Linked DNA regions of Macaca fascicularis. The protein of the gene in region 3 purifies or fractionates together with the protein of the main gene of each other region. This does not show direct contact. Links are inferred from orthologs where the notes say so. Each region holds a gene or a part of one and is shown on either strand. Other genes may lie near its edges.

The links.
Region 1: the proteins of DYRK1A (region 3) and CREBBP purify together in Homo sapiens (affinity purification with mass spectrometry; 4 studies listed by BioGRID and IntAct, with this or other methods). This does not show direct contact. The link is inferred for Macaca fascicularis from reciprocal best matches to the Homo sapiens genes DYRK1A and CREBBP.
Region 2: the proteins of DYRK1A (region 3) and CDC27 purify together in Homo sapiens (affinity purification with mass spectrometry; 3 studies listed by BioGRID and IntAct, with this or other methods). This does not show direct contact. The link is inferred for Macaca fascicularis from reciprocal best matches to the Homo sapiens genes DYRK1A and CDC27.
Region 4: the proteins of DYRK1A (region 3) and TRMT61B purify together in Homo sapiens (affinity purification with mass spectrometry, with the first as the bait; 3 studies listed by BioGRID). This does not show direct contact. The link is inferred for Macaca fascicularis from reciprocal best matches to the Homo sapiens genes DYRK1A and TRMT61B.
Region 5: the proteins of DYRK1A (region 3) and LZTS3 purify together in Homo sapiens (affinity purification with mass spectrometry; 3 studies listed by BioGRID and IntAct, with this or other methods). This does not show direct contact. The link is inferred for Macaca fascicularis from reciprocal best matches to the Homo sapiens genes DYRK1A and LZTS3.
Region 6: the proteins of DYRK1A (region 3) and PPP1R3F purify together in Homo sapiens (affinity purification with mass spectrometry; 3 studies listed by BioGRID and IntAct, with this or other methods). This does not show direct contact. The link is inferred for Macaca fascicularis from reciprocal best matches to the Homo sapiens genes DYRK1A and PPP1R3F.
Region 7: the proteins of DYRK1A (region 3) and KIAA0232 purify together in Homo sapiens (affinity purification with mass spectrometry; 3 studies listed by BioGRID and IntAct, with this or other methods). This does not show direct contact. The link is inferred for Macaca fascicularis from reciprocal best matches to the Homo sapiens genes DYRK1A and KIAA0232.

What each region holds. Positions count from the first base shown.
Region 1 is NC_088394.1:4,561,963-4,565,462, forward strand, and holds part of CREBBP (CREB-binding protein), read right to left. Parts: intron 2,958-3,500; coding exon 2,715-2,957; intron 1,350-2,714; coding exon 1,247-1,349; intron 923-1,246; coding exon 776-922; intron 1-775. UniProt on the Homo sapiens protein: Acetylates histones, giving a specific tag for transcriptional activation. Mediates acetylation of histone H3 at 'Lys-18' and 'Lys-27' (H3K18ac and H3K27ac, respectively).
Region 2 is NC_088390.1:68,162,520-68,166,527, reverse strand, and holds the start of CDC27 (cell division cycle protein 27 homolog), read left to right. Parts: upstream 1-1,208; 5' UTR 1,209-1,331; coding exon 1,332-1,358; exon of another isoform or gene 1,359-1,585; intron 1,586-4,008. UniProt on the Homo sapiens protein: Component of the anaphase promoting complex/cyclosome (APC/C), a cell cycle-regulated E3 ubiquitin ligase that controls progression through mitosis and the G1 phase of the cell cycle.
Region 3 is NC_088377.1:9,632,439-9,636,562, reverse strand, and holds the start of DYRK1A (dual specificity tyrosine-phosphorylation-regulated kinase 1A), read left to right. Parts: upstream 1-1,324; 5' UTR 1,325-1,657; intron 1,658-2,249; exon of another isoform or gene 2,250-2,278; intron 2,279-2,504; exon of another isoform or gene 2,505-3,110; intron 3,111-4,124. UniProt on the Homo sapiens protein: Dual-specificity kinase which possesses both serine/threonine and tyrosine kinase activities. Exhibits a substrate preference for proline at position P+1 and arginine at position P-3.
Region 4 is NC_088387.1:93,353,674-93,357,173, forward strand, and holds part of TRMT61B (tRNA (adenine(58)-N(1))-methyltransferase, mitochondrial), read left to right. Parts: intron 1-2,220; coding exon 2,221-2,323; intron 2,324-3,500.
Region 5 is NC_088384.1:84,134,897-84,139,033, forward strand, and holds the start of LZTS3 (leucine zipper putative tumor suppressor 3), read left to right. Parts: upstream 1-1,337; 5' UTR 1,338-1,976; intron 1,977-2,102; exon of another isoform or gene 2,103-2,261; intron 2,262-3,022; exon of another isoform or gene 3,023-3,148; intron 3,149-4,137. UniProt on the Homo sapiens protein: May be involved in promoting the maturation of dendritic spines, probably via regulating SIPA1L1 levels at the postsynaptic density of synapses.
Region 6 is NC_088395.1:49,441,474-49,444,973, forward strand, and holds part of PPP1R3F (protein phosphatase 1 regulatory subunit 3F), read left to right. Parts: intron 1-320; coding exon of another isoform or gene 321-375; intron 376-1,126; coding exon of another isoform or gene 1,127-1,228; exon of another isoform or gene 1,229-1,667; intron 1,668-2,438; coding exon 2,439-3,500.
Region 7 is NC_088379.1:6,264,474-6,267,973, reverse strand, and holds part of KIAA0232 (uncharacterized protein KIAA0232 homolog), read left to right. Parts: 5' UTR 1-142; coding exon 143-373; intron 374-3,500.

The DNA.
Region 1 (3,500 bases), on a different chromosome or scaffold from region 3:
CTGTCTCTAAGAAAGAAAGAAAGAAAAAAAAAAAAAAAAAAAAAAAAGGCCGGGCGCAGTGGCTCATAATCCCAGCACTTTGGGAGGCTAAGGTGGGCAGATCACTTGAGGTCAGGAGTTTGAGCCCAGCCTGGCCAACATGGTGAAACCCTGTCTCTACTAAAAATACAAAAACTAGCTAGGGGTGATAGCACCCACTTGTAATCCCAGCTACTCGGGAGGCTGAGGCAGGAGAATCGCTTGAACCTGGGAGGCAGAGGTTGCAGTGAGCTAAGATTGCGCCCTGCACTCCAGTCTAGGGTACAGAGCGAGACTCCGTCTTCAAAAAAACCAAAAAGTTAACTTAACTTTGTTATGTTAACTAACTGTAAGGTGATAATGACATGCCATCTATAAACTCATCCAATTCTGAGGAGTCTCCACAACTAGAATCTGGAACTACAAAATAAGGTGAGGTTCTTGAGCTAACCCCAGCCGCCTCATGCAGCATTAAGGCCAGGCTGCACTGAGGGTCTTTGCCTCCGTGACAGGGGCTGTAAGTCAGTGCCCCTCGGCAGTATAGAGCCACCAATGCTCTCTTTGTCACCCCCGCTCACCGAGGACATGAAGTGCGGGAATCTCTGGCCTGCCTAGGGCTGCCAGAGTTCTACCAGCAGTGAGAGTGGCTCCCTAAATAAGCACGTGACTTGTATAGGATCCTAGGGTACTGTCATCCGGTAGTCAATGGGCAACACAGGAACAAAATCATCTATGAAACTGTAAAACTGTTACGTACAGTTTATGCACTAGATGGCTCCGCAGGTCCTGAGTGACATGTTCGTGCCAGCCTTTCCTTACACCAGTGCTGGAAGGAGGAGCTGCTGTTGGTATAGTGCTGAGGGTTCCAATGTTACCAGAGTTGGAGCCATCGTTCATCAGTGGGCTATGGAGGAAATAAGGACACTTCATCCATCTACTGAAGCGACTCAAACATACTTTGTCTAATAAGGTTCTTCTACCACCACATGTGACTTCTAAAAGTTTAAGTCAGGAGAGCCAAGTAATGTATATAAATAAAACTTAAACTATGTTTAATCTATTATCTGCTCTACACTTACAATTAAAGAAAAAAAGGAAAACAGCATTCACCCCTCACCACCCCATTTAAACTATTTTCTCTGCCACACATTTAGAAAGAATCAGTTTTGTGTGGTTCTCAGTCCACGTTCTTGTTGGACTGTCACTCAGAACTGAAACAGGGTCTTACTTTGTGGCCCCCAAGGAAGTCGGAAGAGCTGATTCTGAAATCAAGTTTGGGGGCTGCTGATCTGTTGTTATTCCTCCTGCTGGAATGTTCATTGGATTATTTCCTTTAAAGACAGAAAGAAATCAATCAACTCTTAAATTTTAATATATACTTCAAAGTTTTGATGACAGATAACCAACATGTCATCACATAAACAATTGGTGATTATTTAAATAAGTGATTCTGGTCAGTTATAATAAGCACTGAGGCAGGAACCCCGAGTGTCATATTTTCAATAATGGTAATCAACGTGCACAAATAATCAGTAGACACCTCCCCACTCTACTTGGTAACCAAAGTAAGGTGTGTTTATGGAGATTAGCTGGTATCTAAGTGAAAAAGTTATAAATGATCCATATGCAGCCTCTGACTTTCATTCTGCTTCATTAGTATCACTTCTGAGTGACTCAGCTGCACTGACATATACCTCTGTGTCTCTACCCCCAATATCAGAAAATAAAATCATAGAAATTAAGCTCAGGAAAAAAATACAGAGGTCAATTTGTCTACAATCTTCATATTAAAGTAAAGGAAGGCCGAGATTAATAAAGGTTAAGTTTGTCCTAAATTATACCATCAACAGGAGAGGAGTTAGATTAAGACTTGGGTCTCAGGACTCTAACCCAGTCTCCTGGCCACTATTAGTTAGACATTCACTGGGGCAGTTGTTTTCCAAAAAGCAACAAATAAGATGACTTTAGCTGGGCATATTTTAAGGAATAATTGTTAACCGTAAAATACTTTATTAGGAAAAGAACAAAACTAGCACAGCCAGCCAGCCAGTCTGGACTTCACAGACATCACTGCTTAGCTTAAGCCTAGATGTAAAGGGACTGTGTCCACTTAAAGAAAAATATTAAGGAAACCATATGCAGAAATGGCAAAAATCATGGGTATGTGTGAGCAAATGACCAAAGGTGGGCAAATAATGGGCTGGGGTGACAAAAGAAATGCTGACATGTCCAGCAGCCTGGGAAAAGAGTTTCCAGGGCTCCTGTCATTAACCTGCCGAAGTCCAGGCTGGTCACTTCCAACTGTGGGGTAGACCCTAACCAAGATGTGTGAGGAAGTGGCAAACGCAAGTTCTCCATCAAATAAATGACAACAGTCAGCACGAGGGGTCCAGTCAGCATCCTGACTTGTGAGATCTGCATTCTGAGCCACATGGCACATTCTTTATGAAAACTGTCCAGAGAGAAGTGGCACAGCAAGCAACAAAAACATTGCTTCATTTGCAAATGCTGCTCTTTTTATAAGCATATAACATTTTCCTTGCATTAGACACTTCAGCTTTTTACTGGGAGATTTTTATTTCAACCACTGTAGTAAAAAACACAAAACAAACTGAAAACTGCCTTGGGTTCCATCACTCCATTCCCTTTGCTATATTTGGACAAGTAAGAATGAAGTTGAGAGTTTCTTCACCTACCCAGGGGGTTGAGAGTCCTCATCTGCTGGTGGGTTTGAGGCTGTGCTGGTTGCTGGCCAGGAACCTGAGGCTGCAGCTGCGTCTGGGGCTGGTTCATGTAGGGGAGTCCGAGAGCAGCATAGGCTCGCTGCATGGAGCTGGGGTCTATGGGATTTGGGTTACTTAAAGAAGTGGCATTCTGTTGCCCTGTGCCAACAGAACCAATTGTGTTTTGAATTCCACTAGCTGGAGACCCCAGGATGGCTATAACGACAAACAGACAGACAAACGAGAAAGGTAAGTAAAAGGGAGAAGCCCACAAATGATTTAAAAAACTACTGAGAAGCAAATACATTTCATCAAAATACTACACATGAATATCATAAAGCAGTAAAACAAGGCTAGGGAGAAAGGAACTGTGCTGAAGGACTCATGTATTCTGCCTAGCAGTAAGTGAGGAACAAAAAGTGAAAGAAAAGTGAAGTTTCTATCTTAGCAGGCAACAGATCATAAAATTTCACAGATAACACCTGAAAAAAATCAGTATGTTTTAAAACCTAGAGACTCCTCAAGAGGTCAGTTCCAGGGAGTGGCAAATGTATGACAAGGGAAACGTCTGATTCTCTGGTGGGCAGCAGACACCTTGAGATGAACAGAGGAGCACCCTCCTGCTGTTAACCCCAACCCTGTCCTTCACTGCTCACCTGCACAGGTACAGAGGGCTTAAGAGAAGGAGCAGAGATGATACCTCGTTGGTCAGTTTTGATTAATAAATCTATGATGTGCTCTTCTAAATCACATAATTGC
Region 2 (4,008 bases), on a different chromosome or scaffold from region 3:
GAGTCTCACATCTAGCCTAGAGAACTCCTGACTAGAAGAGTAACCTTCAAAAACCGTTTTTCTCTTCTGCTGAAAAACAAAATTTAAACAGTTCCCTAGTTCACTCTCCTTCGGAGGAGAGGAAGAGCAGAAAGGAAATACAAGAGAGTCTACATTGCGTGCTAGACACAGCCACACTTGTAATACATCAAATTCCCTTAATCCTTTTTTTTCAAACTAAGCAAACACAAGTTCAGAGAGGTTGTAATTTGCCAAGGACCTATGACTAGTTAGTGCTAAAGATACAATTCAAAATCAGGCCTCTGAATTTCCTACCCCCTACTCTTCCCACCACAGTGGAATGCCTCGCCTGTCAAAAATAAAAATTTCTAACGGCCTATTGAGTTTTTCCATGATCTCTTCACCTAAGTAACTATTTCCAATTAATGCCTTCTCAGCAGGCTGATCTCATTTTTCCTTCCTTCACTTTCCTATACTTATTTTTCCTCTGATTCTACCCATCCTTCAAACTCCAGTTTAAACTTTTTTTTCCTTCCATAAAACTTTCCTCATCTTAACACAATTTCCCTCTCTGAATTTTTATATTACTTATAATAGGCACCACATAATATAGCGTTCTCTGTTACACTGCTTTTCCCTTAAATAGACCTTAACCTCCTTGAGGACAGAAGCTATCCTAATATCTTTGGAGTGGCAATCTTTCCAAATTTCTTTAGCTTTCCCCAGAGCCGTGAGTAGATACTTCTGGAAAGGACGAATGATCTAAACTCAATAGACAAATACTTGTTGATTCATTAAAGTCTGCCCCAAACTCTGCTGTTTCACCCTTTGCTTTATAATCTACAGCACATCAATTAACCCAGAAGGGCTGAGTGGCGAATCCACCCTGCAGCCCCGCCACGTAACGCTCCCGGGCCGCTCAGTCACGCCACGCCCAGCCTGCTGGTTGCCGATTGGGCGTGGCCCAGCCCTGGGACGGCCGATTGGGCGTGGTGTGCGTGACTGAAGGCGTGGCTGAGAAGAAAACCTACGCTTTGGGTTAGACTCGGTAGTTTCCGGGAATCTTCGACAATTTCCGGCAACGATTTTTCTCTCTCGTCGACCCACCTCGGGTATTTCCGACCCCTTTCGGGCTTTTCCGTCTGGCTCCCGCTCGGCTTTCTCCACTTCGGGAATTTCCGTGTCCCGCTCGGAAGCACTCGGCAATCGCTCGGCCTCCCCCATTCCCCGGTAACGGTCGCTGGTGAGTTTAAATGAGCCGGGGCTGGCCGGGCCGGAGCCGCTACCGGGGGGGCCTGAGGCACTGCAGAAAGTGGGCCTAAGCCTCGAGGATGACGGTGCTGCAGGAACCCGTTCAGGTAATGATAACCCTCTTCTCTGAGGCTTGGCTTGCAGCCTCAGTCGGGAAGCAGCGTAGGGCCACTCCGCGGCCTGGTGCGGCCTAGGCCCGGCTGCTTCTACCGCCTCCCTTGCTGCCGAGTCCTGCCTATCTTCCGTCAGTTCGGAGGCCTTGCCCGCAGCCTAAGCCGTGTTACCTCTGGCCCTACGTTACTTCACCCTTAGTGTGAGCGGCTTCGGCGAGAATAACCGTCTTTCCCGTCCGAGCCAACGTCCGGCCAGCCCTTCCTGTCAGCCCAGGGGCCTGGCTTGACTGGGGTTGGGAGATGAGGGGCCGAAAACGCACCCCAGGCGCTCTCTTGCCTAAAAGATGATCGAGAAGCACATTTGATCGGAGCTTGTATGATCTTCGCGATGGTAGGGCAAGTTTGCGGAGGTTTTTTTATTTTTGTCTTATGTGAGAGAGTGGAGGGAGAGTAGGATCGGTATCTTTAATACTAATTTCTATTTTGGTAACAGACTTCCTCTCCCACGTTTCCTTTCTCGGTGAATTTCCCACCGGACAATGATGGTTTGAGAAGACAACTCCAAGCCTCAGTGCTGAGGTGCAAGCACCAATACCAGGGGAGGAGGTGGAAAGGGCATATCTGGGTTGTTTTCATCCTCTCTGATGGGGATCAGGAGCATTTTGTTGTGCATGTTTATAAGGCATTCAGGAAATGAAAGACAAATAGTGGTGTTTGTGTCTGTTTCACTGCCCTTACACCAAGGTATGCTTTGACGCACAGTGCTGTGTTGCATTAAAGGAACCCTATTGGATTTTAAGTCTGTGATGCAGTGCCAAGTCATTTTCCCCTCTGACATCTGGAGAAACTGAATCTTTTGTGCCTTGGTAATGGACCAGGTCTGGGAGACTTCCTCCCACCATGTGATCTTTGACTTGATCAGAATTGACTTCTATCAACCACTGTCATTGAGTCTTGGACTTTATTTTGAAGTTATAAAGCAAACCGATTTTTAGAAATTCCTTCATATTGCCCTTAAAAGGCTTGAGGTATCAAATAGTAAATATTTTATTATGTCACTGCTTTCATATTTATTTCATTTTTCTAAACAGCATGAAATACTCATTTCTTCTAGTTTGGCTTCTTCTCCAGCTGTTTACATATAGCAGCTATTAGTGTTTGAATTAATAAAACGTTAAGATTGTATCTTATGAAATTTTCCTGTCTGTAAGTTGTATCGGTTTTTCTAGAGCTATTTCTTTTTACCAGCATAGTTTCTTTTAAGGCTTTTTTTTATTCTGGCTGTAGATGAGGTAATTATATAATTTTTTAAGGCCTAACATGAACTTAAATAGATAAGCAGATTACTCAAGTTATTTAATTTCTGTTGCATATTCTTGTAATTTTGTTTTAATAATGATTTTTTTTTTTTTTTTTTTTTTTTTTTGCCTTCTCTGGCCCCAGAAGTCTTCTAAAGTGATAAACTAGTTGCACTGATAGACGATAACCACCATTTAATAATAATTTCAGACTTTATAAAAGCATGGAAGGCCGGGCGCGGTGGTTTACACCTGTAATCCCAACGTTTTGGGAGGCCGAGGTGGGTGGATCACCTGAGGTCAGGAGTTCAAGACCTGCCTGGCCAACACGGGGAAACCCCGTCTCTACTAAAAATATTAAAAAATGAGCCGGGCGTGGTGGTGGGCGCCTGTAATCCCAGCTACTCGGCAGGCTGAGGCAGGAGAATTGCCTGAACCCAGGAGATGGAGGTTGCAGTGAGCTGACATGGTCCCGCTTCTCTCCAGCCTGGGTGACAGAGTGAGACTCCGTCTCAAAATAAATAAATAAATAAATAAATAATAAAAGCATGGAAAAGAAAAGGAATATGTATCCTATTTCTAGATAGTACCCATTAGGTTTCCTATTTGCCCTTAAAGTACTCTTAGCAGTAACACACTTCAATATTTTTAAGGCTTAAATGTCAAATTTGCTTCTTTTTCATACTAGCATTGTCCATTAGATTTTTGAGATAGTGGTAGAAAGTTTTAGGATATAACTAGGTAAAAATTTTGGTTGTATAGTATAAGAAGAAGCCATTCAAGAAGGGATTTGGAGCAGTGAGAAGAACAAGCAACTTTAACTACAATGATAAAGATCAATGATCAGGGATAGTGCTGCAAATGGGAAAGAATTAGGAAGAGAATAAAAATAGGACAGACACATAAGATACTGTCTTTATTTAAAAAAAAACAAAAACAAAAAACTATGATGACTGATTGCATGTATTTGGAAAGCAGTGAGAGTAAGTTGGAAAATTGTTCTTTCTTGGAATGCCTCAGAGTTGATGGTATTACTAGGCATAGGAAGAAGTTCACAGAAAAGATGAACAACTGTTTTCTGCATTTTTTTTTCTTTAAAGTTTTAACGTAGAATGGCCAGGCTGATATACCATATATGCCTAAATTAAAACTCCATCTCAAATTACCACTTCTCAGAAGAGTATTACTTTATATTTGAGTCCTTATAAAAGTCTCAAATATGAGGCAGAAGTTCTGTCAGTTCCTTTATTTTTAATAGTAACTATTTGGAAAGACACACTAGGCTAAGTGACTTCAGTGAGAGCTTTTTGGAAAAGTCATCTGATGAAATTGGTTTTTTAAAAAGA
Region 3 (4,124 bases):
ATGCCTTCTATTCCCACACGTTTCTAATCTCAAGATTCTGCCCTACTCCGATGATCTTCTGGGTTGATTTGAACTGAAGACAAGGACACATATCTTGAGACACTGTCATATTCTGTTCCGGTTACCTAAGAAGATTAACTACGCAAGTTTCTTCCATTACCAGGAATAAAACTTTGAGTCAAATTTAATTTAGTACTAAAGGTTGCAAATGCTGACGTGCTCTGATAGAAGCGAAAGCTTGGTTAACGGGGTGGGATGGGGTGGGGGCAGGAAAGAGAGACCCGGGAGCAGAGAGGAAGGAGTTGGTTGTATAGGTGGAAGTTTGAGCTTGGGAGGAACCAGGTAGCGACCTCTCCTCTGAATAAGGGGCGCTCTGGGCCACTTCCTCTTTCTTCAAAACAATTAAGTTGACCGTGGACTTTAATCACATTAGCAGGGCAATTTTGAAACAATAATCCGAAAGAACTTTTGCCCGTTACGGCAACTTTTTTTTTATATTATGGAGATCAGTCTGAAAGCAAGCTATTTGCCCGATTACTTTTTGACCAATTTATTTTCGGTTTAGTCAGGTTTCTTTCCAAGTCTGTGCTAATCTGAATGGCTACCTTAGTAATTACTTTTTGACCAGTTTATTTTCGGTTTAGTCGGATTTCTTTCAGTCTGTGCTAATCTGAATGGTTACCTTAGTACATCAATGTCCTAGTAACTGTAGCAAGGACATTTTTGCTGGAAATCATTTAAAGCAGGTGTCTTTGAGTCATGTAGCATACACAGCGGTATTTACTGCTAGTTTTTTACACCTAATATCGTTTATAAAATTTTATCTGTTGCTACTATATTTGTGAGGTTTATGAAAAAAATTGGTTATGAACACTATCACAAGGAGGCAAAATCAAGCTTAGAAATCAATTAGTGACTCTGCTGTAAAATAGTACACACACACACTTTTTTAAGCTATACATTTATTAAATGCCATTAGAGCTGGTACAAAATACAATTTTTAGCTGGTGGCTCTATGCCGGTTACAACGCAGCCAGCATGGCATACTTGGGTTTTCAAGCCTCAGGAGCTCACCCAGCAATACATAGGCAGGCAGAAGGGGTAGACAGAATAAAAATCAGCGAAAGCCAGGATATTAATAAAGAGTTTTGATGGTTAAGGACAAGTAGGCAAATTAAGACGCTGGAAACCGAGGAGCTGCACAGAAAAGAAAACCAGGGAGCTGGACGACAAGGACACAGTAACAGCACAAGGGGATTTATCTAAGGGGCATTCCGATGGAGCAGGCAGGCTGCGCCCAGAAAGGTGGGGAGGGGTTGGAAGCAGATGGGCAGGGACGGGCGAGCGTGCACAGCCTGAAAAAGTTTTCATGATGGCTCCAGCCTAATTTCCCAACGCTGGTCTCGGGCGCCACAAAACCCGAGCGGCCCGACCGGAGCCGGGTGCCAGCCTCAGGGCCGCCGGGGCCCGGCGCAGCGTCCGGAATTCCTGCGATGTCTGGGGCCCGGCGGCGGCTCCTCCCCGCCCCCACCGCGGCCTCCGCCGGCATTTTCCGGCGAGGAGGCCCGCGAGCCCTTCGAAGAACCGGCTCCACGCGCGGCCGGCCGCGGCCGGCGCGCTTCCCGGGGAGAAAGGCGAGCGCGGCGTCCGGACCGCGGTGAGAGCCCTCCAGGCCCGGGCGTGCGGGGTGGGCTTCCCGGGTCCCTGCCCGAAGGCCGCGGCGCCCCGACCCTCCCCCTCCCCCGCCCCCGCCCGGGGCAGCCCTCCCCTCCCCCCGGCGCGGGCGGGGCTGCGGGCGCCAACGCGGAAGCGCGGGGCGCTAGGGCTGCGGGGGCGGCGGCGCGGGAGGCCGCGCGCGCTCCCCGGGCCGCAGTCGGCGCGGGCGCGGGGCGGGGCGAGGCGGCCGGGAGGCGGCGGGCGCTCGCGCACAGGCCTGGCCGCCGCCTCGCCCCCCCTTCCCCAGTCCCTACCCTCTCTCGGCCTAGCCGTCCCCCTCCTCTCCCCTCCCCCGGGCGAATCACGCGCCCTCCTCTGACACTCGTAGCGGGCCCGAGCTCCGAATTTATCCTTCACGTGACCTGAGGGGGTTGGGTGGTTGGCTGGGGACGGAGGGGGAGACGGAAAGGAGGGAACGGAATCTGCCGTTACCTGAGCAACAGGCCCCGCCCGCCGGATCGGGGCCGGGGGGCGGGAGGAGGACGTCAGCACGTCAGCCGGGGTTTTGCGTTTTGATTGACAGTTGCTATAGCGACCGGGTCGGTCCGTCGCCATTTTGTTGGTTGGTTTTTTTTTAAACCCTTTCGCTTCCCGCCCGAATAATAATAAAAAGCCCCATTGGAGTGAGGCGGGGGTGGCGGCGGCAACCGCGGCGGGGGTATCCGGGGAGACTGCTGCCGTCGCTGCTGCTGATCGCGGCCCAGGTCGGGCTCAGAGAGCGGACACCCCGAGCGGGGGGTGCGGGCGCCGCCGCCGCCGCTTCTGCTGCTGCTGTTCCTGCTGCTGCTGTTGGTGCCGCTGCCGCCGCCGGCGAGCGGGCGGGACCGGTGTGAGTGCGAGTGTGTGCGAGGGAGCGTGTGCGAGGGCGAGTGTGCGCGCGAGTGTGCGGGTGTGTGCGAGTGTCTGTCTGTCTGTGCGGGGACTCGGGGGCGGGCGGTTCGGGCTCTCCTGGCGGAGGAGCCGCCGCCGCCGCCCGGGCCCCGGCGCTTCTCGCTGCGCAGGTTCGGAGCGCGCGCCATTTTGTGAGATTTACAAAATCCTCCTCGGGAAGAAGCCGCCGGCAGCAGCCGCCGCTCGGCGCCCGGCCTCGCCGCCGCCGCCCTCTGTGCCGGGCCGGGCCGCGCGGCCCCGCCGCCGGGAATCGGGGCCCGGGGACTGCGGTATTTGCCGGGGAGGGGGCTGTCGCCTCCCCGGCCCCGGGCGCCGCTGGAACCGCGAGCCGAGGAGAGACTGAGCAGGCTGCGGCGCGGCCAGGAGCCGGAGCGCCGGGGGCGGAGAGAGGCGGCCGGGGCGGCGCTGGCTGCGGAGGCCGCGGCGGGAGCGGGAGCGCGGCGCGGGAGCCCGAGGCTGAGACTCACCGGAGGAAGCGGCGCGAGCGCCCCGCCATCGTCCCGGTGAGTGTCCGGCCCGGCCGCGGCCCCGCCCGGCTCGGCGCTCGGCTACCCCGGCGGCCCGCAGCCGGGCCCGAGCCGAGGCCGGCCGGGCGGAGGGAGGGACCTGCCATTTTAGGAGGAGGCGCCGCGGGCCCTGGGCCGGCCGCCGGGGGAGGGAGCCTCAGGCCCGGTCCCAAAGGAGCGGCGGGCGCGAGCGGAGGGAAAGTTGCGGAGGGTGGGAGCGGGGGCCGCGGCCTCCCGGGAGCCGGGGCCTGGGGGGCCGTAGACAGCGCCAGACCTTCACTGGCCGCCCGAGCGAAGGGGTGGAGGTTGTCTTCCTCCTCCTCTTCCTCCTCATCTTCTTCCCCCAGCTCCTCCCTCGTCCCTCCTCTCGGTCCCCACCAGTGTGGGAACCGCCGGGGTGCTTCGCAAGGACAATGCACGGGTTAAGAAAATGGGGCCGGCTGGGCGAGGACGGCGGGGCCGGGCCGGGCGCCGGGGAAGGTCGGGAGCCGCTGCCTCGGCGGCCCTGGGGGTCCGCGCCTGAGCGAGGGGCACTCACTGGTCTCCGATGTTGGGCGGGGAGCGCGAGTGTCCCCGGCGGCTCGGGGTGGAGGGATGACCTGCCCGGCAGCCGGGGGAGTTGGTGGCTGAGGAGAGGTGAATTAGAATGGATACCTGTGTATCGCCACAAAACTTCACGAGTCTATTTATAGGCACAAACCCACTCTCGCTTCGGAGCCACTGAAGCTGCTGAGCAGTTCAGCTCTTGGCCAAAGGCTCCTCCCTAATCTGAAATAGTTAAAAATGGTAAAATTAGTGAGTCAGTGACTTCGGTTCCTTGCCTGTGCCTTTAGCCCAACCCTAGGTGACACGAATCCCGTAATCTAGGCGCAGCGCAGGAATGCCAGCACCATTTGGTTCTTGAATTCCTCCCAAATTGTCAGAAAATACGCCTTAGAATATGGTTTTCACAAGTGCCAGGCGCTGTTCTCAGGGTTTTCCGTGGAGCGACCAGCTTGCCCAGCCGGTAGG
Region 4 (3,500 bases), on a different chromosome or scaffold from region 3:
GATCATTTGAGCCCGGAAGTTTGAGACCAGTTAGGGCAACACAGGGAGACCTTGTCTCTACAAAAAATAAAAAATTAGCCAGGTATGATGGCACACACTTGTGATCCCAGCTACACAGGAGGCTGAAATGGGAGGATGGCTTGAGCCCAGGAGTTTGAGGCTGCAGTGAGCCATGATCTTGCCACTGCACTCCAGCCTAGGGAACAGTGTAAGACCCTGTCTCAAAAAAAAGGTGAGGGGGCAGGTGCAGTCACTCGCACCTGTAATCTCAGTGCTTTGTGAGGCCAAGGCAGTAGGACTCCTGGAGGCTAGGGTCAAGGCTAACCTGGCCAACCTAGCAGGACCCCATCTTTATAAAAAATAGAAAAAAATTAGTTGGGCATGGTGGTACATGCCTGTGGTCCCAGCTACTTTGGAGGCTGAGGTGGGAGGATGGCTTGAGCCCAGAAGTTCGAGGCTGCAGTGAGCTACTGTTGCACTACTACATTCCAGTCTGAGCGACAGGGTGAGACCCTTTCACCAAAAAAATTTGTTTAATAAATTAAAAAAAAAAACAGTTTTTATTAATGTCATCCATAACATTCGTGTTGTGTTAACAAAAACAATTCCAACTATATGTTTGGCAAATGGGTCCTCCAATCTATTTCTAGCATAGTCCCTTTTTTTCCTTATATAGCAGAGCTCCCCTACCCCCAGGCTGAGGACTGGTACCAGTGCATGGCCTGTAACAGGGAACCAGACCACACAGCAGGTTAGCGGTGGTAGTGAGCATTACTGCCTGAGCTCCATCTCTTGTCAGCTCAGCCATGGCATTAGATTCTCATAGGAGTGCAAACTCCTGTGAACTGCGCATGCACCAGATGTAGGTTGCATGCCCCTTATAAGAGACTGACTAATGCCTGATAATCTGAGGTGGAATAGTTTCATCCCAAAACCATCACCCTCTCCCCAATCTGTAGAAAAATTGTCTTCCACGAAATGGGTCCCTGGTGCCCAAAAGGTTGGGGACCACTGTTATACAGTATCTTAATTCTAAATTAGAAGCTCATCATTTGGTCGGGCACGTTGGCTCACGACTGTAATCCCAGCACTTTGGGAGGCTGAGGCCGGCAGATCACCTGAAATCAGGAGTTTGAGACCAGCCTGGCCAACATGGTGAAACCCCATCTCTCCTAAAAATACAAAAAATTAGCTGGGCATGGTGGCAGGTGCCTGTAATCCTAGCTATTTGGAAGGCTGAGGCAGGAGAATCGCTTGAACCCAGGAGGCGGAGGTTACTGTGAGCCGAGATTGCACCACTGCACTCCAGCCTGGGTGACAGAGCGAGACTCTGTCCCAAAAAAAATAAATAAGTTCATCATTTTGGGCTGGGCAGGGTGGTTTACGCCAGTAATCCCAGCACTTTGGGAGGCCAAGGCGAGCGGATCACCCGAGGTCAGGAGTTCAAGACCAGCCTGGCCAACATGGGGAAACCCCGTCTCTACTAAAAATACAAAAATTAGCCGGGCATGGTGGCAGGCACCTGTAATCCCAGCTGTTCGGGAGGCTGAGGCAGGAGAATCGCTTGAACCCGGGAGGTTGCAGTGAGCCAAGATCACGCCATCGTACTCCAGCCTGGGGGACAAGAGCGAGACTTCGTCTCCAAAAAAAAAGAAGTTCATCATTTTATGCAGAGATTATATAGTAAATTCCTAACTGGTCTTCCTGCCTCTTGATTTTTCTCCAGTAGATCCTGTATTCTTCTGCCAGATTAATCCTCATAAAATGCCATTTATATCACCTCGGTGACACACCCTGGTTGCTTATCAGGCCGAGTTCTAATGCCTCATACTGGCATTTAGTTCTCTGCGTATCTCTCCTGAGATAACAAACTGTATTTATTCTACCTCTGCTTTGTTTAAAGCTGTTTTTACCTTGTGATTGTTCCCATAAATTGTCTACTCTTTGTCTTTAAACTAGGCCATCCTGCTGTTCTAAGAACTTATATTGTCTGTAATTTTGGTATTATTCTGAAGTGTTGCCTTATTTGTTAACTGATTCTTGGATCTCTCTTATTTCATCAAGTGAAATATAAACTCTGTAGGCAGAGTGCCTGTAGGCAGGTCCAGAGTCTGATTCGTTTTTTCACTCCCTTCTCCATACTCGACAGTGTAAGATAAGACTAGGCGCTTAGTACATATTTATAGGTCGCTGAGTCACCCATACTGTTTTCAATCATAGGATATTAGTATGATTCTCTTGATGATGGATATCAGCCCAGGTGATACTGTTTTGGAAGCTGGCTCAGGCTCTGGTGGAATGAGCTTATTTTTATCCAAAGCAGGTAAGAGATTGGATTGAGCTGGATCTCGGTAACAAAGAAAACGTTCAATTTGTTCATAATAACAGAAAGTTATGAGGATATTTGGGAAAATACCTAACATTGAGGTAGCATTCTCCTAGAATCTGAATGTGAGCACCTATTTTTCTTTCCATTTTGTACATTTATTCCAGTCAGTCTCTTTCTGATCCTCCCTCCATTTTCTTTGCTTTGTCTTTTTCCTTCATGCTCTCTAATGCTGCTGCTTTTTTCTTAAGTATACGTTTTATTGGAATATAACATAGCTACAGACAAGTGTGCAGATCGCAAGTGTATACCTCAGCGAATCTTTGTATAGTGACCACTTGTACTTATTACCCAGATCAAGGTAAGGAGTGTCTCTGCCCCACAGATGCCTCCTCATGTCCCCTCCCAGTCCTTATCATCACCAAAGGAAACCACTATTGTGACTTTTATCACCACTGATTAGTTTTGCCTCCTTTGAACTTATATAAATGGAATCATACAGTATGTACTCCTTTGTATCTGGCTACTCTTGTTCATCATTATGTTTGTGAGATTCACTCATTGCATACAGCAGTAGTTCTTTCATTTTAGTTGCTGTATAGTACTCTCTTCACAATTTACCCATTTACTGTTGATAGACATTTGAGTTGGATATTATAAATAGTGCTGCTCGGAACCTCCTTGTGTACTTGTCATGTTATTGTTGAATAATAGTGCCAGATGAATACTTAGCCTGAGGGAATATGGAAGGAGGTTGTCAGCTGCTGGGGGGAGAGTTAGACATCGTTAGGACCAAAGAATTATAGTAGGTGTTCATAAAGAAATTAATCATAGTACAGAGCTGTTAAGTAAAAAGCTACATTATGAAGAATTATCTCTTTTTTTTCCCGAAAGTCTCTAAAAATTGTCAGTTGATAAAAGTACTGCTTGAAGGTGGGTGTCTGATCAAAAATCAAGAGGTGTATATTAAACATATATTTTTTCATGTTCCTACCACTTAATTTCTGGTTACTTTTATGCTAGTTGATTAGTACCCCTTTGCCTACCTAATTTCTCTGAGTGTCAGGGTTGTTTTGGGTGGTCTGACTGTCTGTACAGTGTTCTCTTCCCTACATAATGATAAACTGTTGAATAGTCACAGTACTTTCTTTGAGTAGATTTTATAAAGATTACA
Region 5 (4,137 bases), on a different chromosome or scaffold from region 3:
GAGACTCCGTCTCAAAAAAAAAAAAAAAAAAAAAAAAAAAGATGCAAAACCATATTATTCTATGAAATAGGAATGGAGACTATAAAGAGAGATTAAGTTGAGATAAAGACAGAGGTGGAATGGAAGTTGGCTGAAAGAAAATAAAATCAAACAAGCAGAATCAAATGTCTTATTGGAGAAAATAAACAGTACTCTTGACTCTGATGAAAATCAAATCCGTAATGGTGAAGAAAAACTTGATATAGTCTCCCAGGGTGCAGAGAAAACAGATTTATTTGACATTGGTGATCCAATGTGATAGTTTTAGAGGACAGGAAAGAAAAAACCCAAATCTTTTCACAGAATGGACAGGAAGAAAACTTTTCTAAGCTGCAAAGAAGACCTCTTTTGTTTCTGGAAAATTAATAGATAAGGCCCATATTGATTTATACTGGCAAAATGTTTGACTTCTGAGGGTAAAGAAAAACCCTTGCAAGCACCAAGCAAACTGCTGACCTTAAACAGACAAACCCAGCTTTGCATTTTCAGTGCCAGAAGACAATGAAATAAAGACAAGAGTTTTGAGGGGGAAAGCTTGAGACTCAAGAATCCTATAAATAGGAAATCACTGTAAAGGCATTCTCACCTAGGGCAAAGGCTTAGGAATACAACATTCCAGAGTCCCCCCTGAAATCGCCAGTCATGTGAGAGATAGGTCCAAATGAGGAATAGAAAAATTAGAATACAAAAAACCGGCAGTGACATTGAAACCAATTAAATAGAGTTGGCAAAAGCCAAAAACAAGGATTGAAAAAGAATGTGGCTTAAAAAAAAAGTGTAAACAAAAGCTAGGTCTGTTGTCCTGATTAAGTGGACAAATATAAGTAGTGAGGGCGGCAGGTAGGAGGCAGAAAAGCACATTACATTTCTTATGACATAAAGGGGAATATAAAAACGAATTATTTGTCACTGACTTTACTAATTTGTGAAATGTAAACTATTTTCATTTGATTAAAGGCAGTCGCGAGAAGAATTAAAAACACTTTCTGCCTTGAAAATCACGATAGAAAATAAAAGCAAATGTGGGAAAATTCAGAAAACAGGAATAAATAAAAACTAGAGAATACAAAGTCGTAAGACCAAACACGACACCTATAAACAGCAGAGACGTAATGCGTTAAATCCCAGCCACAGTAGAGACTGCAGTTCTTAGGACAGACCCTGGTGCCTCCAGGCCTTTGCTAGTGCTAAACTCTCGGCCAGGCTTGTTTCCCCACCCTATTCAAGGCTGAGGCCTCAATTCAAGGCCGACTTTCTCCTCCCGGCAGTCCTCCCGGGCCGCCCTAGGCTGAGTGAGCACTCCCCACAGTGAACGCTGCCGGCGCGGGCGAGGCCGGTGCTCTAGGTCCGGGACAAAGTCCCCACCTCACTCCCTCTCACCCCGGATTGCAGCGTGTGGTCTGGGGCCACGCGTTACGCCAGGCGCGGGACAGGGTGAAAGCGTTCAATCCTGCTGGGGTATAATGTGCATTTTTTCCCCGTCGCACCTTCCAGACGGTGATCCAGTGTGAGCAGCAAGTTTCAAATCGTCTCCGTTTGATCACGAACGGAGTTTACTGCCCTTCGACGCCTCCCGCACGACAGCCCGTGGTCCTCGCGCCCGGGCGGGTCGTTTCTCGGCCGGGTGGATCCACCCGCGACGATTCGTCCCGACCCCACCTAGCGGACTTGCAAGGTCCAAAGGCGTCCGCTGGGAGGCCGCGTCCGGAAGAGCTGGCGCGGGAGAGGAATGGGGCTCGGGGCTCGGAGTCGGGAGCCCCTTCACCCAAGCAAGAGGAGCTCCTCCCCCTCTTCCTAGACGTGGGATTCAGCGAGGGCGCGGTTCCATTGGATTTGTTGCAGACGAACGACTGGGCCTAAACCCAAGCCCAAGGGCCTGGGGGGTAACGAGCGATGACCGGAGGGGATTGTGGCTGTCTTGCTGCGCCCTAGAGAGGGTGAGGCGGAGGGGTCCCACGCGCGGGCGGGGCGCAGCGACGAAGGGGTTAAGGCGCCTCGCCCCGCCCCAGCCCGGGCATTGGCTGTCCCGGGGGGCGTGGCCGGAGGGCGGGCTCGCGTTTGCCGCAGCCGCTGGTGGGCGGGGCTCGGGCGGGGAGCAGGAGGGGCGCGGAGCGGAGCCGGGCCCGCGCCGCGCGTCCCGCCGGGCGTGCTTCGGGCTGCGCCAGCGAGCCGGGCCGGTGGCGCCCGTGTCGGAGACCCCGCGCCGGACCCTGAGGCAGCGAGTAAGTGAGGCAGGCCCATCGTGGCATCCCTCCCGGCTCCGACCTGCCGCCGTGCCTGCTGCACTGCGCGGCATGTCAGACCTGACCGGGACTGGGTAGGGGGCGCGTCCCGCTGCTGGGGTCCCAATGGGGAGGGGAGCGGAGAGGAGGCGGATGATGTCATGGATGCTTCGCCCGGCCTGGGAGGAGGTGGCGGCCAGAGGGGGTGCGGCTCGGATTATGTCACCTCTTCCCTCTGCGCCCCGCCCCCCGGGGCCACACGCGTTGGTGGGGAGCCTGGGGAGGTGCGGGCGGGATTTCCCCCATCGCAGGGACTCCTAGGTCCTGTGGCCTGTGGCTGGGGTCTCTATCAGTTGGCTCTGCGGGCCATGGGCTGCTGGTGAATGGCGACCCCCCCACCCCCAGCAGAAGCTCGTGTTTGCGCGCGTGTGTGTGCTCGGGGTGGAGGGGGCGCTCTCGGCCCCCTCAGTCCTCAGTCCGGAAACACCGGCTTCATCAGAGCCAGTAGCTAGGTGATGGGCCCATTCCGCCGCCAGTGCTTAGGCCACCGAGGGAAGATGGATCTCCCCTTACTCATCCCAACCAAGAAGTTCTGGATATCTCTGCACCCCAAAAGCCCTGCAGTGCCCCCAGATCCCTTTCCTCCCTCCGTCCTGCTTCCTGGAAACCCCTTCTGCTCCCCCTGCCCAGATTCACTGCCTCTTTGCATGGCCCATAACTAGCATTCCCACAGGCATTTGCCCTGCATTTCTTTGGTGCAGGGCCCAGAGATCCCTAGGACTCTGCCATCTGTGCCCCTGGGAAACCTACAGGCCAGACATGGGGATGCCTCAGAGTGAAATCTCCCTGGAGTGACCTGAGCCAAGGGCTCCAAGACGCCCCCTCGGGTGGGTAGAGATCAGGGATGCTGTCCTGAGGCCAGCCTTTGGACTGGTCTAGAAGCATGTAGGATGGTCACAGAGAGCTGGCAAGAGCTTGTGTGTGAAGTAGAGAGGGGCTCAGGTCAGGGGAGATAGAGGAGGGGCATCAGGAGGGGCCTTGGGGACCCTGCTGCAAGCTCTACTCTTGTTCTGGGGACCAAGAGGAATACCAGGCGTTTCACCCATTATACATTTACTTCTTAAAATGCCTGCAAGGTAAGTGTGAGAACTCGAGGTGAAATTACCTGCATGAGGTTGCACTGCTAATCAGTCCAGCTGGGATTTACACTTGGAGCTGATGCTGCCAGAACTCTGTCTACTGCACTTGATCCTGCTCGTGGAAGGATCTGGACAGAGCAGGGGCAAGATCAGCTTTGCCCTTTAGAAGGAGTTCCCTGGCAGCTGCCTGGGGGAGGGAGTGCAGGAGAAGAAAGTCCATTGAGGAGCCCCCAGCAGGGGTGCTGGATGGAGGGGCTGGCTAGAGATTTTTAGGAGATAGAATGGTCTGGGGTTGGGGCCTCTGAGACACCAAGTGTTCCTAGCTTTGGGAGAGACACAGGTTGGGGAGTGGGTTGGAGGTACCTATACATGTAACTCTTAGGTAGAGTCCGTTTGGCACCTTCATGACGCTAATACTGTGTATAATGCCCCAGGCACTGAGGGCTGAGGTGACAGAGATCGAGGCAGTTGGACAACAGGCTGTCATCCCAGGGTGGTGCACTGATGCCAGGAGGCTGCCTTTGCAGACCATGCTCAGTTACCTGGGCCAGTTCAGGACCTTTCCTCTTGGTTCAGTTCCTGCTTATCAGGGAAACATCCTCTTCCTTGTCCTGCCAGTGCCCTACTGGGATTTTGTGGAAAGAAGCTGCAGCAGTCAAAGCTTGGGAGAGACAAGGGGCAGGGCATGTTTGCAAGGGGTTAACCATGACAGGTTAAAATTACGACAAGAAGCTCTT
Region 6 (3,500 bases), on a different chromosome or scaffold from region 3:
AGCACATCCGGCTAATTTTTATATTTTTAGTAGAGACAGGATCCATTGCCTTGACCTCCCAAAGTGCTGGGATTACAGGTGTGAGCCATCACGCCTGGCCAGAAAATTAAGAATTCTTAACCCCATAATACTATCATCACACCTCAGAAAATAGACGGTAATTCCTTAGTATCATCAAGTATTTGGTCAGTGTTCAAGTTTCCTTCTCTCATAAGTGTTTTAGGATCCAAACAAGGTTGACATGTTGCATTTGATTGATGTGTCTCTTTAGATTTTAAAAATCTCCCCCACTTTGTTTCTTTGCAATTTGTTGGTTGAAGAAACTTTGCTTGTCCTGTAGAATTTTCCAGTCTGGGTCTGGCTGATTACATCCAGGTGGAAATACGTTTCTTACTCCATTTTTATTAATTTATTAATTCTATTAATGTAATCTTATTAAATTTAATTTATCAAATTGTATTAAATGAATGTATTTAATCTTTTATTATTAAATTAACTAGAATTAACTCTATTTAATTCTACTATTCCCACTTCCTTTATTAGCTAGAATTCTTCTTTAAAGAAAAACTGTCCCACACCAGCTATTTGGCTACTTTGAGATATAGTTTGTGCAGAAAAAGCAGTGTAAATATTTAATTTTTTCCATTTTATTTACCAGTTTTCAGAGAAGTACTACTCCAAAGGTGACGAATAAAAGGATTTTTGGTTTTGTGTCATTATGAACTCATGAATTCTAAACATATTTGATGAGTTTTAATCCATTGCACTTATTTGTGTGTTTTTTTGATGCTTAAAATGAACTACCCCTGGCTAGTAGGAGCTTATTGAGATGGGCTCCTCTGTCCTTTTGACACGTCCTCATCATTCTGTGAGCCTTTCTCACATCTTCCATGACAATATGTGCTAGGCTCATCCTGTACTCTCCCTGCCCCAAGCCTGGAAACAGCCATTTACTTCTTTCTTTTCTTTTCTTTTCTTTCTTTTCTTTTTCTTTTTCTTTATTTTCTTGCCTTCCTTTCCTTTCCTTTCTTTCTCTCTCTCTTTCTTTCTTGTACTTTCTTTTTCTTTCTTTTCTTTCTCTTTCTTTCTTTTTCTTTCTTTTTTTTTTTTTTTTTTTTTGAGTCAGAGTTTTTCTCTGTTTCCCAGGCTGGAGTGCAGTGGCACAATCTCAGCTCACTGCAACCTCTGCCTTCTGGGTTCAAGCGATTCTCCTGTCTCGGCCTCTTGAGTAGCTGGGATTACAGGCACATGCCACCACACCTGGCTGAATTTTGTATTTTTAGTAGAGACAGGGTTTCACCATGTTGGTCAGGCTGGTCTCGAACTCCTTACCTTCCTGGTGATCCACCCACCTTGGCCTCCCAAAGTGCTAGGATTACAGGCGTGAGCTACCGCACCTGGCCAGAAGCAGCTATTTCTTTAAGGAGCACTGGTTCCTTTCAGTGGAGAGTGGCATTCAAAGGCCAAGATTTGGGGGCTCAGCATTCTTGCTGCTACTAGATTGGTCATTGTTTCTAGGCCTTTTCAAAAGATGGAGCTAGGAAATAATTTTTTTTAAAAGAGAAGATGATACATCATGGGTTCATATGGACATCCCGACTGTGTTTTGGGAATTTTTTTTGCATTTTAATTTTTAAAAATGTATAAATTTTTAATTTTCGAGGGGACATAGTGTATATGTTTATGGAGGTGTTTGGATACAGGTATGCAATGCGTAATAATCACATCATGGAGAAGGAGGTATGCATCTCCTCAAGCATTTATCCTTTGTGTTACAAACAATCCACTTACACTCTTTTTTTTTTTTTTTTTTTTTTGAGACAGAGTCTCTCTCTGTTGCCCGGGCTGGAGTGCAGTGGCACAGTCTTGGCTCACTGCAACCTCTGCCTTCTGGGTTCAAGTGATTCTCCTGCCTCAGCCTCTTGAGTAGCTGGGATTACAGGTGCGCAACACCATGCCCAGCTAAATTTTTATATTTTTGGTAGAGAGGGGGTTTCACCATATTGGCCAGGCTGGTCTCGAACTCCTAGCTTCATGTGATCTGCCCCCCTTGGCTTCCTAAAGTGCTTGGATTACAGATGAGAGCCACTGTGCCTGGCTACTTATACTTTTAGTTATTTTAACTGGCTCTGTTTTAAAGGTAAGCCAACAGTGTTTAGTGATTATCATTCACCAAATATTCACACCCACCGAATTCCTCAGCTTTATAATCTGCAAGAAGCCCCGTTTTACTGCATCTAATTGTGTTATTTTACCATAGATGACAGTCTTTGGAGTCTAGACAGTGACAGAGGGTGCTTTAAGGTGTTTTTATATAGAAACCCCTGTGGGGCTGGCTGTGGGCTGTCACACTTCTTACTGTCTCTGCTTGTTCCATCCCCTCCTCTGCTTCATTCCCTTGCTTTTTCTCTGCCCCCTCGCCCCGGCCATGGCTCCAGGTTTCTGATGTTCCGATGACTGGCAACCCTGCAGAAGAAGGTGACGTCCCCAGAAGCAGTCCTCCTGTGGCTTTTACAGAAGTCCTTCAGGCACCGGCCATCAGGATTCCCCCCTCCTCCCCTCTCTGTGGCCTGGGTGGCTCCCCCAGAGACCAGGCCTCAGGGCCCGATGCGAGCGAGGGGGCCACCGGGCCTTTCCTGGAGCCCAGCCAGCAGCAGGCAGAGGCCACATGGGGAGTATCGAGTGAGAGTGGAGGGGGGCTGGAGGCCATGAGTGGGTCAGAGGAGCTGCTCGGTGAGGACACCATTGACCAGGAGCTGGAGCAGCTCTACCTGTCTCATCTGAGCCGCCTACGGGCTGCTGTGGCTGCGGGTGGGGCAGGGGGTGGTGGGGAGGGTTCCACAGATGGAGGGATATCCCCCAGCCATCCCCTGGGCATACTGACGGACCGCGACCTGATCTTGAAGTGGCCTGGCCCTGAGCGGGCCCTAAACAGCGCCCTGGCTGAGGAGATCACACTGCACTATGCCCGGCTGGGGCGTGGCGTGGAGCTCATCAAGGACACTGAAGACCCTGATGATGAGGGGGAGGGTGAAGAGGGGCTCTCTGTCATACCCTCCAGCCCAGAAGGGGACAGCCCCAAGGAATCGCCTCCGGAAATCCTCTCCGGGGCCCGTTCTGTGGTAGCCACTATGGGAGATGTGTGGCTTCCATGGGCAGAGGGCTCAGGATGTGACGGCCCTGTGGTTCTGGGTACAGAGGGTCAGTTCACTGGGGATCCTGAGAAAGGGATGGGCAAGGACACTAGCTCTTTGCACATGAATAGGGTGATAGCTGGGGTGACCGAGTACCTGGGGGAGGCCGGGGCAGAAGCCCAGATAGAGGTCACCAGTGAGTGGGCAGGCAGCTTTGATCCCATATCTGGCAAGGAGCCAGCCTCTCCTGTCCTTCTGCAGGGGCAAAATCCCACCCTCCTCAGTCCTTTGGGGGCCGAAGTCTGTCTCTCTAGCATAGCCAGGCCTCATGTGAGCTCCCAGGATGAAAAGGATGCAGGCCCAAGC
Region 7 (3,500 bases), on a different chromosome or scaffold from region 3:
CTGACTACCAGCAAAAATAAATGCTTATCCTACATGTCAAGCATCTCTCCTTTTTACTGGAGTGAAAATCCCCTCCAGATACCAACAGAATATCAACTGCAGAAAATGCTTCACATTTTAAGGATGTCGGCAACCTAAATTCATGTACCCTATCTGTACAGTTGTTGTGGATGGTTTGCCATCTGAAAGCTCCTCAAGTTCTTATCCAGGCCCTGTGTCTGTTTCTGAAATGTCTCTGCTTCATGCTTTGGGTCCAGTGCAGACCTGGCTGGGACAAGAGCTCGAGAAATGTGGCATTGATGCCATGATTTACACTCGATATGTCCTCAGTCTTCTGCTGCATGACAGCTATGACTACGACCTGCAGGAACAGGTATTTACATATTTTAAGTGTTTTGTGAAAACTGATTGTATCTGTATGTATACATTCCTCTTAAACAAGCACTTTCATACTTTAAAACTGGGCTATTCATGTGTTTCTGCAAACATTTAACCTGTCAGTGACCAGATGGTAAGATTGCCTTGGAGTGTCAATCAGCCTGTGTCACTGAGCACCCTGTTAAGTGCAGTTATTTCATTCATGGTTAGACTTTCTCACTGTTGATTACGTTTTGGCATAGACTCCAGATCTTGTGATGGATTGGTCATAGTTTGATGACCTGCTGCCTTTAAATAGCAGTGCTCTAGAATGTTGATTTCTACTATTTAGAAAACTCATACATTATGAATAGATATTTAAACATTGTATCTATTATACTTCTTACCATTCCAAATTTAATATTGTATTTTATCTGCAAGAAAGATATTTAACTGCTTATTAGTCTGTATGTATAACAAATCAGTAGACTTTAACTTCAGTAAAGCACACAGTTTTGCCATAAGTCAGTGTGTGCCACCTTGTAAGTTGGTCATTACACATTTTACTTGACTTTGCTGCTGAGTTTATAGTGAGAAATTGGGCTGGGTGTGGTGATTCACACTTATAATCCCAACACTTTGGGAGGCCGAGGTGGGAGGATCCCTTTAAACTGGGAGTTTGAAACCAGCCTTGGTAACATAGAACCCAGTTTCTAAAAAAGTATTAAAAAATTAGCCAGGCATGGTGGCACGTGCCTGTAGTCTGTAGCTACTCAGGAGGCTGAGGTGGGAGGATCGCTTGAGTCCAGGAAGTCAAGGCTGCAGTGAGCCATGATTGCGCCACTGCGCTCCAGCCTTGGCAACAGAGCAACACTCAGTCTCTCTCACATGCATATGAGAGAGAGAGAGAGAGAGAGAGAGAGAGAGAAACAAAAAGAAAAGAGAAACCAAATACAGGTTCTTGAAAAAAATCTTAACCTCAGTCTCATTCTTAAGAGGAGCTACTGAAAGTGAGGCCTGCCAGAGGGAACCAGAGTCATCAGTAGTGAATAAATGGGCTCTGGGTGACTTCTGTGTACAAATTTCACGTAAAGTCTTTTGGTTTTTATAGACAGTAAAAAGAAGGAGGTATTTTGTGGGCAGTTTTTGTTGCTGTTTTAAACCATTGTTACCCACACTGAAAGCAAAGCAGGAAGAGTTTCATTGTCAGAAGAAATTGGCTTTGCCCCTCCAAACCACACAAAAAAGCCTCAAAGTCCTGTAAATACAGAGGATTTCACCAAGATGCTTTTTTTTTTTTTGAGACAGGGTCTTGCTCTGTCACCCAGGCTGGAGTGCATTGGTGTGATCATAGCTCATGGAAGCCTTGAACTCCTGGGCTCCAGCCATCCTCCCACCTCAGCCTCCCAAAGTGCTGGCATTACAGATGGGAGCTACTGTTTCCAGTCAGCTTAACATTGAGTTGTACAGAGCGTGTTTGATGAGAGGGTTTCCCATTGTGTCTAGCTGGACATGTTTGATGAGAGGGTTTCCCATCGTGTCTAGCTGGACATATTTGATGAGAGGGTTTCCCATCGTGTCTAGCTGGACATGTTTGATGAGACGGTTTCCCATCGTGTCTAGCTGGACATGGTGGACGTGTCTTGCTTCCAGGTTGCTTGCTGCCTTGGCTGGCAGTAGATCCAGTAAGGTTTTGAAGCGATTAACTTATAACCTAATAATCAGCAACTGTGTTATTTTGGTGGTCAGTATTTTGTATAATTTCCTTCCCAGAGCTCTGTTATTTGCCATCATCTTTCTGGTAAATGTCAAATATACTCCTTTACAGGCAAGTAAGACGTTAAATCTACAAACATGGAAGGACTTTCATTTCCAGAAATGAGGAAAATATTTCTCATCATTCAAAAATTACATACTTCATTGTAAGCATGTACTCATAGGGAATGATTTTTTTTTTTTTTTGAGACAGGGTCTTGCTCTAATTGCCCAGGCTGGAGTGCAGTGGCGTGATCACAGCTCACTGCAGTCTTAACCTCCTGGGCTCAAGCGATCTTCCTGCCTCTGTCTCCTGAGTAGCTGGGACCACGTGTGTGGCACCCCACCCAGCTAGTTTTTAAAAAACTGTCTCTCTCTCTTACCTAGGCTGGAAAGAATAGTTTTTTAGTAGGACTTGAACTTCCCATTTCTTAGAGTTGTATGTCAGCAATATCAGTCCAGAATAGTTAATCAACACCAATACATTTACTAGCACAAAATATATTCTGGGTGCTATAGGACATACAGGATAAAACAGGCCAGATGTTAATAAGATTATAGTCAATCACATCTCTGATCAGACTTGTGAATCCTCTGGTTTCTTTACTAGCTCTAGGGGGTTGTGATCAGAGATAAGATGAACTATCAGTATCTGCAGCTGTGTTTGATCCTCCCTCCAGAGTTCTGGTTCATTCCTCAGGACACAGGACAGATAAAGGTTAGGGAAAGCATAACATGTCTGGAGTTATAAGGAGAATCCATAGGGAAATAAAAGGCCCTAAAATACTTTTCTACTTGGTCCAGAGTAACAGCAGTGTGTGCCAAGTCCCATGCCGATGAAGAAGGTCAAATTTTAAATGATACCTGTTTTAGTAAGACATGACCTGAGAATCCTTTATCCCCTACGTTACTTTTCCGTGAAGTTACAGTCCCTCTTTAAAGGTGGCAAAAGCCAGATGCCTGACTCAAAGGGAGGATGTGCTTACTGTTTCCCCAGGCACAGAGGATGCAGAAGCCAAGGATGGTTCTCTTCTAGCAAGAGTAAGGAGAGTGGAAGGGCCCTTAGCTTCTGTCATTCAGAACTCCAGCTAACAGCAAGGCTGACAGACCTGGGTGACGGTGTGTGCCACCTTTCCTGATCTCTGGCTCATGCTTGTGCTAACACAGCCCCTCAGGTGGAGGCCAAACCACTCTACTCCTGGGTGTTCATTTCCTCACATCTTCTCTCACCCCTTTGTCCTTGAGTTAGTCTAGCCTTGAGCGGCCAGTTTTAAGACCCATCACTTTTCCTGGTTTAGGCTAAAGCAGACACACAGTGCTCTTGAGTTATGAAACAGATTGGATGCCTCAGTTTGGTCTCAGCTGTGCAGGATGATAAGGAAGTAAAG